2 linked regions of the Arabidopsis thaliana genome follow. The protein of the gene in region 1 interacts with the protein of each later gene in a pairwise test. Each region holds a gene or a part of one and is shown on either strand. Other genes may lie near its edges.

What was found.
Region 2: the proteins of MYB106 (region 1) and AL6 interact in a two-hybrid assay, tested with the Arabidopsis thaliana proteins (one large-scale study listed by BioGRID).

The regions. Positions count from the first base shown.
Region 1 is NC_003074.8:46,274-50,034, reverse strand, and holds MYB106 (myb domain protein 106), read left to right. Parts: upstream 1-1,738; 5' UTR 1,739-1,891; coding exon 1,892-2,028; exon of another isoform or gene 2,029-2,129; coding exon of another isoform or gene 2,130-2,137; coding exon 2,138-2,262; exon of another isoform or gene 2,263-2,346; coding exon 2,347-2,476; exon of another isoform or gene 2,477-2,564; coding exon 2,565-2,917; exon of another isoform or gene 2,918-2,994; coding exon 2,995-3,416; 3' UTR 3,417-3,639; downstream 3,640-3,761. UniProt on the Arabidopsis thaliana protein: Functions as a repressor of epidermal cell outgrowth and negatively regulate trichome branch formation. Acts both as a positive and a negative regulator of cellular outgrowth. Promotes both trichome expansion and branch formation.
Region 2 is NC_003071.7:650,435-654,195, forward strand, and holds the start of AL6 (alfin-like 6), read left to right. Parts: upstream 1-2,141; 5' UTR 2,142-2,402; coding exon 2,403-2,499; intron 2,500-2,673; coding exon 2,674-2,706; intron 2,707-2,887; coding exon 2,888-3,116; intron 3,117-3,701; coding exon 3,702-3,761. Other genes in the region: LOV1 (NAC domain containing protein 35), read left to right, coding at 1-215. UniProt on the Arabidopsis thaliana protein: Histone-binding component that specifically recognizes H3 tails trimethylated on 'Lys-4' (H3K4me3), which mark transcription start sites of virtually all active genes.

The sequences.
Region 1 (3,761 bases):
GATGATGAAGAAAAGCAAATGGTTATCAGTTGACTTTAAAAGCTTTGGCCCCTCTTCTTAGCTCACTCAATCTCAGCTACGTTACGTGGATGGATGTGATTTTGACAAGTGGCAACATCATCATCTATGAAGTTTATTGAGCACTGTTTGGACCATAAAAGATGAAATCAGCCAAGACAATTAAAGAGGTGTCCCCATTGTCCTTTACATCTTTTGCAGCCAGTATGATTTAGTTTTTCCAAAATTCAATTTTGTTTTTATTGGTACAATTCGTTGGGCCTTATGATTTTGTCTTATGGTTTATCTTTGTGTTGATGAAGATACTTTCTTCTCTTCCTAGAAGCTTGGAGCCCACCTCAATAAATCCTTTCTTTGCTACCATGGCACACACTAGGATACTCTTTTCTTTGTTTGGTCTGGTAAAATCTCTTTAATGTCACCGTCACCGCCATTACTCGTCTACCTTTCTTGGCAGCCAAAGTTACCTTTGTCGACAACATTTGATCACCTGTAAACTATCCAAACCATGTATGCCACTAAAATTTTGCATAATGGTCAGTAAGTAACAAATTATACAATTCTGATTATGGTCAAATTTTACCTTTTGTGGTATGCTACTAGTTAAAGGGTAACCAAATAGTGGTTTTTACCTCATCAAGTCGCTATTTTGATGGTTAAGTTTCTGTATACTTTTCATCATTCATTGTCTATGTTAGTTTATCTTTGTGAAAAAATAGATTTTGTGATGAATTGACACCAAGAACAGTGGAGCAGCCAGTGGGACTTTCATTAAATGGTAAAGGAACCAGACAAGGAAAGGTTTTTCACCTCCTTTCTTCTTGCTCCCACCACATTAGTGTTTCCTCTCTTCATTTATAAGGGTTCCAAATTTTTACAATGGTTGAAACTCAGTGTTTACCGCGGTCATAGTTTTCTGATACTTTAGAGACAGTGACTATTAGTGTAAAAATGTGTTACCATAAAACTATTGTTGCTTCCACAGGGAGAATTATACCATTTGCAGAGCAATGACTAATTGAATAAACAACAAGTCTAAGCTAATGACATCATTGACAACCAATTAATTACTTGCAACTACTTTGCATTTTCCCTTTTTTTTCCTTCTATAATCAGGGTTTATGAATCATTAAGACTTTTTGCTCTAAGTTACTCCAAATATCATTAATCCTCTGTGTCTGATTTGCTTTTCCCATTATAGTGCCAGCTTCCACTTCTTCACCGCCATCTAACAGCATTTACTATTGTGGAGTTTCTACAAAAAGCTAACTAAAATGTGAAACGAAGAAATCAATAAACACGTTTCCATAAAGTAGTGTAACTTATTAGGGTAACTAGTTGTAGGCAAGACCGTAAGTAAGACAAAACAATAAGAACTTTGTAGCTTTCAAGAAACCATCACTCAATAGGATACCTGTAATAAGAAACCTTGAGCATCTTTTAGACCCTAGTGTAAGATAATTGAGTTTTAGTGAGAAGTGTTTAAAACTTGTAACTAGCTTAAATGGGTTTAGTGCATTTGGGGACTGTCGACAGCGAACCTTGACGCGAGAAAAATGCGGGAAAGTAACAAGAATGGTTTAAATGTCAAAACTGTTAAAGGACCACAAAGTTTGTTTAAGGCTAATGAGAAAAACATTCTTCTCAATGACATTATCCTAAGTTGCAGGGTTATCAAAGTGAGAGCTATTGATAGATGTTGACCTTAAAATTTACTCCAGGTTCTGAAATTCACTGTTTTACTTTTGTGTTGAGAGGTACAATTTCAAGGTAAAGATGGCTACAGTAATTGGGTGCTCTGTTGAGTCTTTAAAAGGAAATCAAGGTGTTGGAGCCACAAAGGTAATAATATCTCTCGACCCCATCCAATTGAATGCCAATCCATGTCAGAGACCGGGAAAAGGGGCGCTTACAGAACCTAAACAGAGACATCTTCTGTTGTGTTTCTCCATCTATATATCAGAGTGACGCCAAGAGAGCAGCTTTTGTGATCATACTGATCATGATCATGTAATGACAACTATCTCATACACTAGGTTATTAAACCGTGGATCAGATTGAAGCTAGCTTTTTCTTCAGTAGATTAGACTAATAACTTGTGTGGGAAAACAATGGGCAGATCGCCATGTTGTGATAAGGCCGGGTTGAAGAAAGGGCCTTGGACTCCAGAAGAGGATCAGAAACTTTTGGCTTATATTGAAGAACATGGCCATGGAAGCTGGCGTTCTTTGCCTGAGAAAGCCGGTAACTTGCTCGCTCTTTTCTCTTCAACAAAACCACACATTTTCTTCTAGCTCTATTCAAAGCTTTGCTTCAAACTCCTTATAGGTCTCCAAAGGTGTGGAAAGAGTTGCAGACTCAGATGGACTAACTACCTAAGACCTGACATCAAGAGAGGCAAATTCACTGTACAAGAAGAACAAACCATCATTCAACTCCACGCTCTCCTCGGAAACAGGTGACTCAATCACAATCTCTGCTTTCAAACCAAATAACCAAGTGATTGCTTTGAAAGCAAATTGATCGTCGTCCTTTAAATGTCATAGGTGGTCAGCGATTGCAACTCATTTACCAAAGAGGACAGACAACGAGATCAAGAACTACTGGAACACACACTTGAAGAAACGTCTGATCAAAATGGGGATAGATCCAGTGACTCACAAGCACAAAAACGAGACTCTTTCGTCTTCCACAGGACAATCAAAGAACGCAGCCACGCTTAGTCATATGGCTCAATGGGAGAGTGCAAGACTCGAAGCTGAAGCAAGGCTAGCTAGAGAATCAAAGCTTCTCCATTTACAGCATTACCAAAACAATAACAACCTTAACAAATCAGCAGCTCCTCAACAACATTGCTTCACTCAAAAAACATCAACAAACTGGACTAAACCAAACCAAGGTAAGGGACACATCGTCTTAAAAAAAACTCTCAACTTTGATTGGTTTTGGTAACGTATCAATGGAAAATTGTGACAGGAAACGGAGACCAACAGCTTGAATCTCCGACATCGACGGTGACATTCTCTGAGAATCTTCTGATGCCTTTAGGAATCCCTACGGATAGCAGCAGAAATAGAAACAATAACAACAATGAGTCCTCGGCGATGATTGAATTGGCCGTATCTTCGTCAACCTCCTCCGATGTGAGTCTGGTCAAAGAACATGAACACGACTGGATTAGGCAGATCAACTGTGGTAGTGGAGGAATAGGAGAAGGATTCACGAGTCTATTGATCGGTGATTCGGTCGGCCGGGGTTTACCCACCGGGAAAAACGAAGCGACGGCGGGCGTGGGGAATGAGAGTGAGTATAACTACTATGAGGATAACAAGAATTACTGGAATAGCATTCTCAACTTGGTTGATTCTTCACCGTCCGATTCCGCGACGATGTTCTGATCTAAGGGTCTTCAACCAAACATTTTTAATTCTCAGATTGTTTTTTAAATGTCGATAGCTTTCCAATACTTTTTACTTATCTTTATTTTCTTTATAAACTATTATATATATATATATATATATATATATGGGATGAAAATGAGCTTAATTTTAGTATTCGTTTTTGCAGAATTGCATGTAGCAAACCTGCAAATCCAATTTACAATTTATATATTATGCTTTTATGTTGTTGGTATACAGTTTGTTAGAAAAATATTTTAAGTGATAACGTCGTTGTCATTTGGCCAAATACATAAACCATAATAAGGGATCCTCCTTCAAATCCTAATACGTTTTTGTTTTGGG
Region 2 (3,761 bases), on another chromosome or scaffold:
TTCATCATACTCAACAACAAAATGCTAACGCAAACGCATTACAATTGGTGGCTGCGGCGACTACAGCGACAACGCTAATGCCTCAAACTCAAGCGGCGTTAGCTATGAACATGATTCCTGCAGGAACGATTCCAAACAATGCTTTGTGGGATATGTGGAATCCAATAGTACCAGATGGAAACAGAGATCACTATACTAATATTCCTTTTAAGTAATTTAATTAGATCATGATTATTATCCATGACAATAATTATTAATGCTGCTTTGCCATATTTTCATACTCCTTATATATTGTTATGGCGATAGACAATGATTGATTACTGCGAGTTTATGTAATGGAACTGATTCTCAACATATATAGTCAATTAAGTAGTTTTTTTTTTCTTGTGTTAAAGTTAATTTCTTTAAGCTAGATTCAACGTAGTTAAAAAAAAAAAATTCACTGTAATATATGAATACAAAATGACTAAGGAGTGCAATCCGTATCAAAAGTTCTCAAACAAACCAAAGAAGAAATAAACTTATTGGATTAGATTTTCATGTACGAGCCCTAACCGAAACCAGACTAAAACCAAACACTAACTAAACCATAACAATAGTAACCGTAAATCCAACCTAGTGATATTTAATTTGGTCTTCATTCCATTTCAAAATTTCAAATTGAATGTTGATATTTTTTGTTGTTTATTCATCACTTATTAGAATTCATTTTGCATTGTCATTTACATGCATTAGATCCAAGATGTTTAATTTTAGTTACCTGTTAGTGCGACTTTATAGATAAACAATCCACTAACTCTTAAGAATTCAACAACTAATTTTGAGATAGAAATATATAAAGATAAAAGATGTTAGCTAGTTTTTTGTCTTTGTAAATATAAGACTAATTAGGGTTTGACAAAAAAAAAAAGCATAGGACGTGCAATATTTGGTAAGAGCAGTTGTTCCCGTGATTTTGTCAGATATGACCAGCATGAACAGTTGTATGTTGTAAGAAATCAGTTCCCTTTTTCTCAATGAGAAAAACAAATTTAAACTTGACTTAACTCTCATACTAGTCTTTTTAATCCTAATTATTAACAATCTTTAATAATATATGTAATGTGGCAAAATCCTAATATATACTGACTTGAATATGATACGAAAGTACTAATTTTAAAGTTTTTTCCCTTTCTAACCGGTCGATGTAACCGTATTTGCATGTTTTCTTAGATTATTTTAAATAATATATGTCTATCACCTATATTAGTAAGTATATATTCATAGATTATAGTTGATTTTGCCCAAAGAAAAAAGAAGATTATAGTTGATTATACCACATCATTGATATTCTGTGACGAATTAGATTACAGTTGCGGTAAACGTATTCGCTAGCTAGTACGACGTGCTTAACGCAAAAATATTCAAAGATAACGAATCCGATTAATATTGGTTCGTTTCTTAATTCTTACATCTAGAATCACACATAAAAACAATAAAATAATTAAAAATTTGATGAATTTTTTATTTTTTTGAGTGATAAAAGGCAAAATGTTTTCCGTTTTTTAGTAGCTTTCTCTTTCAAAATATCTATTTCTGGTGTATATCGTGAAAAAAACTTTCAAAATACGTGAATGTGATGATCGTTGAAAACTTCAAATCTCATTTCCCCTAGGTTACTATAAAAGCCCACTATCCTTTAATGGGCCAGGCATGCTATTTCTGTACAATACAAGATGGACCTGAATGTTTTAACTTTTAACTTTTATCTTTAAGGTCAAGTTAATTGAAAACAAAAACCAAATTTGTGGATCAATTTGGATGCCTCAGCCTACGTATAAAAACATGTTTTTTTTTCGTAATATTAATGGAAATGAATATGTTAAAAAAAAAAAATACATGTTTTTTTCGTCGACACTTTTAAAAATAAAATAAAATTTAAATAAATGTCTTTGACCAAAATAAAAATAATGTAAAATTTGGGAGTGGGGAATGTAGCTCGGAAAAAAATAGGGTATGTAGATCGGAATTAATAAATAGATTTTATATTATTACATAAACAATAATAAAATACACAATGTTGTCTTTATTTAATTAATACAAAAATAATAAAATAGACAATGTTGTCTTTATTAATATTACTTCTCAGCCCCAAAATTAATCTTTGATCGGTCCCTTTTGTTTTATCGTTTTAGGGTTTGTAGCTCCTTTCTCTTTTTTTCTTTTCTCAATTTCCCCCAAATTAAAAAAAAACTCTCTCTTTCAGAGATTTACAAATTTCATTTCTCCAAATCCGAAACCCCAAAGTGAATATTTTTCCTTCTGGGTTTCTTTTGTTTGCCTGGAAACATTTGTCTCAGATTTTGATTTTGACCGGAGTACTCATATTCTCCGGCGATTTCTCCGGCGACATCGTTTGTGAAATGGAGGGAATTACTCATCCAATACCTCGTACTGTTGAAGAGGTCTTTAGCGACTTCAGAGGTCGACGAGCTGGTCTTATTAAAGCTCTCACTAATGGTCAGTTTTGGTCTGATTCTTGTTTCTCACTTGCGAATCAGAATGATAAGTATCTACAGAGTTACGATTTTGTGGCATTTGGGTTTTTCATTTGTTAAAAAAGAAGAACTTTTTTTATTTTGGGTTTCTTTTGTGAGATTTGACGATTCTGGGTTTTGTGTTTTGTTTATGCAGATATGGTGAAGTTTTACCAAACGTGTGATCCTGGTGAGTTATTTCTTCACAACTTTTAAAAAATTAGTCTTGCTTAGCTTCTATAGTTTCTAGTGAAATGTTTTGTTGAAGTTGTTGAGCTTGTATGTTGTTGAATTGTGTTGGTTAAAGATTGAGTTAGTTAGTCCTCCTCTGTGTGGTTTTTCTTTAAGGTGTTTCATTCTTGTTTATGTAGAGAAGGAGAATTTGTGTCTCTATGGACTTCCAAATGAGACATGGGAGGTTAATCTACCCGTTGAGGAAGTTCCTCCTGAGCTTCCTGAACCAGCTTTAGGCATCAATTTCGCTAGAGACGGAATGCAAGAAAAGGACTGGGTATCTTTGGTCGCAGTTCACAGTGATTCATGGCTGCTTTCTGTTGCATTTTACTTTGGTGCACGTTTCGGATTTGGCAAGAATGAGAGGTAAGGGTCCTTCTCAAGCTCAGTGTTTTTGAGTGTTGCATCTCAATTATGACAATATTGGGTGTACTCATGTGTGGTAAGGTTATAATGATCATTCTAGCATCCTCTTGTTTTGTCTATTTGTCTGATACAACAATCTCTGTGTGGATTTTTGTAACTCACGTGATCTTATTTATAGGGTCGGTTTCTGTGTAACTCTTTTTGTAAGTGGTTCCCAGTTTCTATTTTGAAGTGACTAGAGTTATGAATCGCACCAATCTGGATCAATGTTATTGAGATAGATATATTAGTCAATAGATGTGATATGTGCCTCTAAGTCTGATTAGTACTTCTTGTATTAGTCTTGTGCAGGATCACTGTAATTAGCCTAGGTAGTTTCCACTGCATTGTACCTTTGTTGAGAGCTCAGCAACAATCACTGAATCCATTATTTGATACTGGTAGCTGACAGGTTAAACGAAAAGCTTGAGCAGAATGAGTTGTTGATTCTGAATCTCATCAAATTCTTCTCTGGCATTAGGTTTGTTTGAACAACTTAGCTATCACTTGCCTTTAAGCTTATGCCATGGACCGATTCTTTTTCAGGAAGAGGCTGTTCCAGATGATTAATGAGCTGCCAACCATTTTCGAAGTTGTGAGCGGCAA